Ovis aries: one gene and its partner. The main gene of each other region encodes a partner of the protein of the gene in region 2 in a complex. Links are inferred from orthologs where the notes say so. Each region holds a gene or a part of one and is shown on either strand. Other genes may lie near its edges.

The links. Proteins that work in one complex are often made in the same cells at the same time.
Region 1: OSGEP (region 2) and GON7 share a complex: the UniProt entries of both Homo sapiens proteins name them as parts of the EKC/KEOPS complex. The link is inferred for Ovis aries from reciprocal best matches to the Homo sapiens genes OSGEP and GON7.

The regions. Positions count from the first base shown.
Region 1 is NC_056071.1:55,647,931-55,653,539, reverse strand, and holds the start of GON7 (EKC/KEOPS complex subunit GON7), read left to right. Parts: upstream 1-1,798; 5' UTR 1,799-1,855; coding exon 1,856-2,063; intron 2,064-5,609. Other genes in the region: putative E3 ubiquitin-protein ligase UBR7, read right to left, coding at 1,452-1,601. UniProt on the Homo sapiens protein: Component of the EKC/KEOPS complex that is required for the formation of a threonylcarbamoyl group on adenosine at position 37 (t(6)A37) in tRNAs that read codons beginning with adenine.
Region 2 is NC_056060.1:24,949,033-24,954,455, reverse strand, and holds the start of OSGEP (tRNA N6-adenosine threonylcarbamoyltransferase), read right to left. Parts: upstream 3,449-5,423; 5' UTR 3,274-3,448; coding exon 3,159-3,273; intron 1,762-3,158; coding exon 1,642-1,761; intron 1,462-1,641; coding exon 1,286-1,461; intron 1-1,285. Other genes in the region: APEX1 (DNA-(apurinic or apyrimidinic site) endonuclease), read left to right, coding at 4,248-4,305, 4,539-4,726, 5,224-5,416. UniProt on the Homo sapiens protein: Component of the EKC/KEOPS complex that is required for the formation of a threonylcarbamoyl group on adenosine at position 37 (t(6)A37) in tRNAs that read codons beginning with adenine.

The DNA.
Region 1 (5,609 bases), on a different chromosome or scaffold from region 2:
CATGGTCTGAAATTTATTTTCAACTGGTTCAGGAAACAAAAACAAAGTATATTACAGTGAAGAAGTAAAAGATAAAACAAATGTGGTAAAATATTAAAAAGTGAATATATGTGAAGGTACACAGGTGTTCATAATATTATTTTTTCATTTTAACTGTAGACTTTAAACATTTCAAAATAAAAAGTCGAGAGAAAAGCAAATCCTGATAATGGCTGCCATCTTCTGAGAAGAAGGGAGTCCCAGGAAAGCTTCTGTGATGCTGGTAATGTTCTATTTCTTGATCTGTGTGGTATGTACCTGCAGGTGTTTTCAGTTTTGCTTTCCCAAGACTTATACATGGTTTCTGCACTTTTCCACATATTTTACAACAATACAAAAAAATTTTTTAAGGAAGTCTGTTTTAAAAATCTAACTACGTTTCAAAAATAACTTACAGGCTTTTTTAAAAAAGGCAAACAGAGAAAAAGTTGTTCCAGTGGCGACCAAAGGTTTTAAAATATCAGCCAACATTAAATACCTCTGAAGCCAGGTGTATTAAAAAAAAAAAAATCTAACCACTTTGCAGTGTAAACTCAACTGGTCATTGATAACAACTGGTATTGTGATCTCAAGCAACACCACGTAAAGACCCCATGTCTCTCTCCCCATCCTGCAATGTTCCACTCCACCTGCCTGGAAGATAACCTTCTTCCTATCAAGTACCATCTCTCATTAGTTTTCTTCTACCACCTTTCTCCATTTTTGAACCTAGAAACATAGAATGAGTCACCAAACACTACGTCACACCCCCTCCAGTCCTTGTTCCCACCATCTTCCGAATGCCATCTCTCCTCCCCTCCTTTCCTTTGCCAGTGCCACCAGCTGTTCGGGTTCCGGTCTATGCCCCTGGAGGGCCGACTGCAGAGAGACGTGGTACTTGCTTCCTCTCGCCAAAAAAAAAAACCAGCTAGCACCTGTCAAACTAAACTGCAGAGGAACCAGCTGTCCAGGAGTCCAGCCTACGCGGAGAGATTTTCAAACCCAGAGCTCTCTCCTTTAATTATTTGACTCTTCCGTTTAGTACCCAGCAAATACTCTGAGGATGGGAAAAGTATGGACAAAGATACTCAGGATGTGAAAGGTCACGGGGTTGGTTTGGTGAAAAGCGGCCGGGGCACAGAGAAGAGACGAGGAAGGAAGGAAAGAGCAGCTGCTCTGGGGCCAAAACCGTAGAAACGTCGGGGGCCTGACAGAGGAAAATCGAGAAAGGAGGGGCGTCCTGCTGGCCACAGGTTAGAAGGGGCTCAGAAGACTAAGTGTAAAAGGGCACCTGGGCCTGGGATGGGGAAGCCTACGACCAACAGCTGCGCTGGACCACCACAGGGGGCCGGCCGCGGCCGGCGGGAAGAGAGAGGGTAAGGCGGTGGGGAAAGGGAGGTTCAGCGGAGGCGAGGGCCGAGCCGCGCGCCCACCTGCGAGTAGGAGCACTTCTCCGAGTCACTGCCGCCCAGGACGGCGCAAGCCTCATTCTCCAGCTCCTCGTCCTCCTCCAGTACATCGACCAACGATACCACGGGCTCCAACTCCGACTGTCGCCCAGCTGGCTCCTCAGCTCCAGCCATCCTCAACTGTCACCAGGACCGCCGACCGGCCCCGGCGGAGGCGGGAAAAGCGTCCGCGAGGGGCGGGGCCGGAGGAGGCGGGGCCTCGGTGCCAGACACCAATCCCAAAGACAGGGAGCGAAGGAAGGGGGAGGAGCGACTTCCGACAAACGGAAGTCAGGCCTCTCCCTTCTCCGCGCCTGCGCCCGCGGCGGGCTGGTTTCCGTTTCCGGTGGCGACTCACTGTGGCGCGCTCCTGAAGCGTAGCGGTCGCTATGGAGCTGTTGGGCGAGTACGTCGGACTGGAAGGGCAGCGACAGCAGCTGCGGGTGCCTTGTGAGGCGCCGGGCGTCACCGACCCTTTCCAGAGCTTGTTGTCCGGTGTGGCTCAGATGAGGGAGCTGGTGACTGAGCTCTTCGGCTCTCAGGTACAGCCGGAAGCACAGGACCGGGGGACGGCGGCTCCCGACGAGGCCTTGGACGGTGAGCTTTGAGACGGTTCAGCGAGTGACAGGAGGGCGGGCAGGGGCGCCCGGAGAAATTTGGGCTGTACCTGGACTCGTTTAGCAGGACTGCTTTTGACGATTCTCTTTTCATTTATGTCACACAAAAAACGTACTGAACGCCTACGGCCCTGTGCCAGTCACTGGGCTGAACTCTGGAGAAAGAATGACGTGAATGCGACTCAGTTCCTGTTCTTGTGGAACTCTGTGGGAGGTTAGACAGACAAACATTCTTATTAAAGAGTAGAAGGAATGACCCTAGGCTTCTTTGTAACTATTGCAAACCTAGAGAACCCAAGAAGGCTTCAGAAAGAGCATGACTTCTAAGCTGGGCTTAGAAGGATGGAAAGGAATTTTCCCAGGCGTGAACTTACAAATATGTTTGGAAGACCGCCATCTATTACAGAATAGAAACAGGTTCTGAAGATTGGAATAGATTTCAGATGAACAAGGCTTCACTGTCAGGGACTCCTTTCATTTCCCAGTGTGGTAGGTGCAGTTTGAAAGCAGAAATGGAAATTTTAACTGTATTCTTAAGTCTTGTCTTGAATACCCTGAGCTGAAGAACCTAAGAACTAAATATTGGAATCAGGGCTTACTTCCCCTATTGTTGTTGTTGAGGTTCAGTCGCTCAGTTGTGTCCAACTCTGCAACTCCATGGACTGTAGCACACCAGGCTCCTCTGTCCTTCTCTGTCTCCCAGAGCTTGCTCAAATTCAGGTACATTTAAACTGCAGTGCCATCCAGCCATCTCATCCTTTGTCTCCCCCTTCTCCATCTGCCCTCAATCTTTCCTAGCATCAGTCTTTTCCAGTGAGTCAGCTCTTTGCCTCAGATGGCCAAATTATTGGAGCTTCAGCTTCAGCATCAGTCCACCCAATGAATATTCAGGGTTGATTTCCTTTAGGATTAACATTTCATCTCCTTGCCTTCCAAGGGACCCTCAAGAGTCTTCTCCAGTACCACAGTTCAAAAGCATCAATTCTTCAGCACTCAGCCTTCTTTATGGACCAACTCTCACATCTGTACATGACTACTGAAAAAACCATAGCTTTGACTATACAGACCTTTGTCGTCAGAGTGATGTCTCTGCTTTTAATACACTGTCTAGGTTTGTCATAGCTTTCCTTCCAAGGATCAAGTGTCTTTTAATTTCGTGGCTACAGTCACTGTCTGCAGTGATTTTGGAGCCCAAGAAAATAAAATCTGTCACTGCTTCCACTTTTTCCCCTTCTATTTGTCATGAAGTGATGGGACCGGGTGCCATCTTCTTTGTCTTTGAATGTTGAGTTTTAAGCCAGCTTCTTCACTCTCCTCTTTCAGCTTCATCAAGAGGTTCTTTAGTTGCTCTTCACTTTCTGCCATTAAGGTGGTATTATCTGTGTATCTGATGTTTTTGATACTTCTCCTGGCACTCTTGATTCCAGCTTGTGCTTCATCCAGCTTGGAATAAGCAGAGTGACAATATACAGCTTTGATGTACTCCTTTCCCAATTTTGAACAAGTTTGTTGTTTCCTGCCTGGTTCTAACTGTTGTTTCTTGACCTGCATACGGTTTGGGGATTGGAATAAAAACTGACCTTTTCCAGTCCTCTGGCCGCTGCTGAGTTTTCCAAATTTGCTGACATATCAAACAGCATCATCTTTTAAGATTCTAAATAGCTCAGCTGGAGTTCTATCACCTCCATTAGGTTTGTTCATAGTCCTAAGGTCCACTTGACTTCAGACTCCAGGATATCCAGCTCTAGGTGAGTGACCACACCATTGTGGTTATCCGTGTCATTAAGACTTCTTGTATAGTTCTTCTGTGTAGTCTTGCCACCTCTTAATTTCTTCTGCTTCTGTTAGGTCCTTACCATTTCTGTCCTTTTATCATGCCTGTCTTTGCATGAAATGTTCCCTTGGTGTCTCCAATTTTCTTGAAGAGATCTGTCTTTCCCATTCTATTATTTTCTGTTTCTTTGCATTGTTCATTAAGAAGGCCTTCTTATCTCTCCTTAATATTCTTTGGAACTCTGCATTCAGAAGGGTATATCTTTCTCTTTCTCCCTTGCTTTTCACCTCTCTTCTTTCCTCAGCTCTTTGTAAAGCCTCCTTGGACAACCAATTTACCTTCTTGCATTTCTTTTACTTTGGATTGGTTTTGGTCACTGCCTACTGCACAGTGTTACAAACCTCCATCCATAGTTCTTCAGGCACTCTGTCTGCAAATCTAATTCCCTGAATCTATTTGTCACCTCCACTGTATAATCATAAGGGATTTTATTTAGGTCATACTTGAATGGCCTAGTGATTTTCCCCTACTTTCTTCCATTTAAACATGAATTTTATAATAAGGAGTTCATGATATGAGCCACAGTCAGCTCCAGATCATGACTATGTGGAACTTCTCCATCTTAAGTTGCAAAGAACATAATCAGTCTGATTTCAGTATTGACCAGATAGTGATGTCCATGTGTAGAGGCGTCTCTTGGGTCATTGGAAAAAGGCGTTTGCTACGACCAGCGTGTTCTCTTGACAATACTCTTAACCTTTGCCCTGCTTCATTTTTGTACTCCAAGGCCAAACTTACCTGTTTCTCCAGGTATCTCTTGACTTCCTGCTTTTGCATTCCAGTCCCCTATGATGAAAAGGACATCATTTTTGGTATTAGTTCTAGAAGTTGTAGGTCTTCATACAACCAGTTAACTTTAGTTTCTTCAGCATCAGTGGTTGAGACATCGACTTGGATTACCGTGATGTTGACTGGTTTGCCTTGGAAACGAACCGAGATCATTCTTTCGTTTTTGAGATTGCACCCAAGTACTGTATTTCAGACTCTTTTGTTGACCATGAGGGCTACTTCATTTCTTTCCAAAGGATTCTTGACCACTGTAGTAGATACAATGGTTATCTGAATTAAATTCGCCCATTCCTGTCCATCTTAGTTCACTGATTCCTAAGATGTTGATGTTCACTCCTATCATTTCCTTCTTGACTGTGTCCAGTTTACCTTCCAAACATTCTTGGTTTCTATGCAATATTGTTCTTTACAACATCAGACTTTACTTTCACCACCAGACACATCCATGACTGAGCATCATTCCTGCTTTACCCCAGCTGCTTCATTTTTCTGGGGTTATTAGTAATTGCCCTCTGCTCTTCCCCAGTAGCATATTGGACACCTTCCAACCTGGGGGCTCATCTTCTAGCGTCATCTTTTTGCCTTTTCATGTTGTCCATGGGGTTCTCTAGGCAAGAATACTGGAGTGGATTGGCATTTCCTTCTCCAGTGGACCATGTTTTATCAGAATTCTTCACTATGACGCATCCATCTTGGGTGGCACTGCGCAGCATGGCTTGCAGCTTCATTGAATAACACAAGCCCCTTCACCATGACAAGGCTGTGATCATGAAGGTGTAACTCCTCTGTAGAGGAGCTTAAACTGTACTGTACTTTCCTTTTCTTTCCATCTTGTTTACATCTTGATAGTGCCAGATAATATGATAGAACCAACTCAGAATATTATGTGAATTTCAGACAGTA
Region 2 (5,423 bases):
CCTAAGTTTCTAACCTTGTACAATAAATATCCTTCAGGCCTCAACCAATTACTTGTTCTCTACCCATTAAAGTTCTCACGTCATTTTCATAGAAATGCATGCTTCATCTTTAATAACTATTTCACAAAATGAACTTTTGGAATATAATCCTTTCAGGAGAGAGGAATCAGTCTGGACAATAATCCCATCAGGTGTTAGGTGGAAAAGGAAGGCTAGAGTTCTCCCATCTCAACTTAAAAAGATCTTGTAAGGTATCCCAAACAACTCTGGCTTCATCTATAAATTTAAAACATCTTCCACCATTCATAAAATGTTATTTAAATTACTTACATTTTCACTCTTAAAAAAAAAACAAACCTATATATTTACCATCAGTAACTAAAACAAAACAAATGTTGTAAAGAAACAAATGAGATAGTACCCTTTAGTTTCTTTTTTTTAAAAAAAATTTTTCTGGCTGCACCTTGAGGCATGTAGGATCTCAGTCCCCTGACAAGGGATAGAACCCGTGCCCCTGGCACTGAAAGCAGAGTCTTAACCACTGGACTGCCAAGTGCCCCTTAATTTTAATTGCTAACATTCATAGGAAAAATAAGCTTCAAAATAATGAAAATAAAAATCCTTAAACACTTCAATCCTTACTATTTTTTCCTTCTCTAAGCTGGAAATTCCTCATCTCGATAGCCACGTATAAAGGTCATCCAATGTTCCAGTGTATCACTTTTTAGCTTCAGATGAGCCCAGTTTTCCTACCACTCAGGCAGAAAGTGAAAGTTGCTAGCACAGTGCCTCAGAAATTAAGAAGGACTGGTGGAACTCTTCTGCTGTAGTCCTGAATGGCTTCTGTCAAAATGGCCAAGTTCATGAAACCTGGGAGGTGGTGATGCCCCTGGCCAGTCATCATGAACACCTATGATCTTGCTACCTTGCTAGCAAGGTACAAAGTGAAAGCTACCATGGGCAAGAAGAAAACTGCCAGGAGGTCAGAGAGCAAGTCTTTTGTGAAAGTTTGTAACTTGAAGTATACCACTTCAAGCCCACAAGGTACTCTGTAGGTATCCCCTTGGAAAAAACTGTGGCCAAGGAGAATGTCTTCAGATACCCTGCTCTTAAATGTGCATCCCAACAAGAGGTCAAGGTCAAGTTTGAGGAAAGATACAAAACCAGCAAGAACAGATGGTTCTTCTAGAAGCTGTGGTTTTAGATCTGTTTTGTTTCAGTTATTAAAAATACCCAAAAATCTGAGGGGAAAAAAAAAAAAAGAACCGTGAAGAATTCTAAATACCTGTGTATTTCCTCCACTGACATACAGCACAGTTGGGTTGGTGGCTCCAGTGATGAGGCGGCCCATCTCAATGTGACCTATACAGTGGTTAACACCCAGCAATGGCTTATTCCATAACTGGGCCACAGTACGGGCCACAACAGCCACAGAAACCAGTGGGGCACCCATGCCAGGACCTATGGGGACAGAATAGGGCTTAGAATCCTATAGAGATTGGGAAAAACAGAGTTGAGGGAAGCGGGGGATGTGAAGGTACAGCGGATGTAGTGGTGGTTTCAAAGGTGAGGTGCAGACTATTTTGACCTAGCTGGGTTCCAGGTATATTCTTCCACTGCTGTGCACACTTCTAGCTATACCTTTGGTGTATGCGATGCAATCAATATCCTCAGAGGTTAATCCAGCCTCTGTTAGTGCCTCCTGCAGCAGGTCCAGGATAACAGCTCGGTGGTGCCTAGCAGTATCACCTGGAAGGAATCCTAGGAGACGGACACAAGTCAGAGATCCTAAGAATTTTCCTACAGAAAGGCACCTAGAAGTCAAAACAGACATTTCAGTAGGGTAGGAAGAGTCCCCTCCCTTTTCCTCAAACATCCTGTCTTCAGATATAGTCTTTTCAGCCTGTTCAGCTAAGCTAAACAGCTCTGAGCAATGCCCTTCTTCATAACTAACTCCTATTCAGGACTCAATGATACCTATCTCATACTTTTTGGTGATGCCCTGTGACTCTACAAACACTGTGCATGGTAACATCATTTATATTAACATACTATATGTAACATGTAACAATTACAGCATTATAGTTAATCGGTACTTTTCCCAGCTTAACCATGAGCATCTCAAAGCACTGCCTGTTTTATCTTCACATTCTTGGTGCCAATGAAGGCAATGGCACCCCACTGCAGTACTCTTGCCTGGAAAATCCTCCGGACGGAGGAGCCTGGTAGGCTGCAGTCCATGGGGTCACTAAGAGTCGGATACGACTGAGCGACTTCACTTTCGCTTTTCACTTTCATGCATTGGAGAAGGAAATGGCAACCCACTCCAGTGTTCTTGCCTGCAGAATCCCAGGGACGGGGGGGTGGGCTGCCGTCTATGGGGTCACGCAGAGTCGGACACGACTGAAGCGACTTTGCAGCTTGGTGCCAAATGCCGAGAAGCTTGAGTGCTAAACATATATATCCATTTCTAACGAGTAACCTGTTACAACATCACCTGTTCAGGGAGGCTTTTCAGGTATACACAAGCCTGCTGCCCTCTCCTATGGAAGGAGGTGTTTGGGGGAAAGGTAGCAAAGACAACAGAGCTTAGAAATAACATTTACGGAAAGTTGTCAGTGTATCCGATACTTTAACTCTCCAGACCAAATGACGCAGGTAATATCATTCCCATTTTAAGAACAAAGTACAGAAGTCCAAAAACAACTACCGAATATTCTAAGGGCAGCCGATAATTAGCACATAAAAGGTGGTCAGTATAGGCTGAACAACTCAGAAGATCCAGTTTCAAGTGCCTGTAACTCTTCTACCCATCAGCTTCGGGATAATGTGTGTGCGTGCTTAGTCTTGTCCAACTCATGGACTGTAATCCATTAGACTCCTCCGTCAATAGGATTCTCCAGGCAAGAATACTGGGGTGGGTTGCCATTCCGTTCCCCAGAGGATCTCGACCCACGGATCGAACTCAAGTCTCCTGTACTGCAGGCAGATTCTTTACCACTGAGCCAACTGGGAAGCCCTTTTACCGTTACATAATCTCAGAAACTAGGATCAAAAATTATGAGACACAATGCGCACTCTTCACCAACGTTTAGAAAGACGGCAGGGGATGCTGTGCGGAAAATTGCGCCACGAGTTACAAATCCGCAAATCCTCACCTGTGCCGGGAGGCGTGACGTAAGTCCGCCGCGGATTCGCCAGTACTTTGCCATCCCGTACCACTCCCACGCCAATCTTGTTGGCGCTGCCTTCCAAACCCAGCACCGCCGGCATGGCTCCGAGCTAGCACTGGAGCCAAGGAGCCCTCACCAGTCCGCGCTGGGACGCAGACTCCGGGTCGCAGAGTAGGAGGATGAGCCAGTGGCTGCTAAGCAGCCGCGCCAACCAGAACAACAACTACCAAAATATTCCCGTACGTAGCGCGCCAGCGCCGGTCCCAATCTCTGTCGTTACGACGACCCATCAAGACCCCTTCGAGGGCCTGTTCGCTTAACTGCCGGGAACGCTGAGCCGGCGTCTGCTCCTTAAATTCCTATCCGTTCCTCTGCTTCTCTCCGATAGTCCAGCCCAGCCTTTTCCACTGATTTTGTTCTCTCTTACACAGCTTTGGGATCTCTAGTCAGGGTGGCAGAAAGAGTTGTGAATCCGGCATATTGATAAACAGTCCAAGAATGGAGGGTGGGGCCTTCAGTGTCCCGGAGTCCAGAAGGGCGGGAAGCTTTTGAGTCACGTGGTACAACTAGACCAATGACCCGTATTCCTCCACCCCTGGATGAGCATCTCAAATCACGTGACCACGCCAGTTACCCACGTGGGGCACGGCGTGCTCCATTCTTTGTGCTGGGTTAAGGAGGAGGCAGACAGGGGCCGAAGCAGGTCAGCTGAAGGGTTTGTGTTGTTTTGCCCATCTTAGCAGCTTCTCTGGACGTCTGATTCGCAAGGCTAGGTCGGGACTCTCAATTAAGTCCCTCATTTGGCCGGAGGGCGGATCTCGCGAGAAGTGTATAAGACACGATGAAATGATCTAGTCTGAGGGGTGAGGGGCTGAAAGGCTGATGGTGCACGGAGGCGGGGAAAGAATTCAGAGATAATACAGTTTCAAAGGCGGTACTTGGTACGTGGGCGTTGAGGGTGGAGTCTTCTGCTCTAGCTGGTTTCACGACTTCTTTGCACTTGTAGGCAACGCGATCAAAATACTGCTTCAGTGGGCGAAGTGGAACTGGTGCAGAAGGGCCTACATTACAGTGATGCCGAAACGTGGGAAAAAGGGAGCGGTGGTCGAAGACGCGGAAGAGCCCAAGACTGGTAAGAGAATGAAATGGGCCCCTCTCCCCAGAGGCGGCGATGGGGATGTCTATAATTACCTAGTTGAACGGGAAGTACGGACCGTTGAACGGAAAGTCCAGACCGACACCGACAGTATTCTCATTTATGAAGAAGTCGCGGCAGCTGCAGGCTCTTAGTGGGTCTATAGTTTACTCTGGATCAAAGTTGGATACCGCCAACTTATATCCCATTATGTATTACTTATTTTATAGAGCCAGAGGCGAAGAAGAGTAAGGCAGGAGCGAAAAAGAACGAAAAAGAGGCAGTAGGAGAGGGCGCAGTTCTGTATGAAGACCCCCCAGATCAGAAAACCTCACCCAGTGGCAAATCAGCCACACTCAAGATCTGCTCGTGGAATGTGGATGGGCTTCGAGCCTGGATTAAGAAGAAAGGTTTAGATGTGAGTGGAATTAAGGGGGTGCAGAGGCTGATCTTAGGGTTTAATCATCTTTTTCCATCTTAGTCCCTAGCACGATAGTTTTCTTGTGGGAAAGGTACTAGGTTTTCACCCGAAAAACCTTGTTATTTTTCAAATGCCATTTCAACATTTCCAGTGCCATTTTCTTATTTATAATGTCCTCATCTCTTTCCTGGCATGTTGGGAAAACCTCCTTACTGGACTTGCTCCATTTTATTTCTTGCATAGCCAACATTTAAATAACTACCGCTTAAAAATCTTAGCTGGCTATCCAGGGCCTTTTGGGGAAAACAATTCCTCCGTGTTGCATGTCACACTGTTCTTGCCTTTCTGCCCTTAAGTTTTAATATTATGCTGCTAGATGTTATTTCTGCAGAGACTGTGTCTCATCTGTATATTTCTAGTACTTTGCATATAGATTTTTCAGTAAATGGCTGCTGAATTGATAATACTTTTTCTACATTTAATTTCCCTTACAGTGGATAAAGGAAGAAGCCCCAGACATCCTGTGCCTCCAAGAGACCAAATGTTCCGAGAACAAACTACCAGTTGAACTTCAAGAACTGTCTGGATTACCCCATCAGTACTGGTCAGCTCCTTCAGACAAGGAAGGGTACAGTGGTGTGGGCCTCCTCTCCCGCCAGTGCCCACTCAAAGTCTCCTATGGCATCGGTGAGAC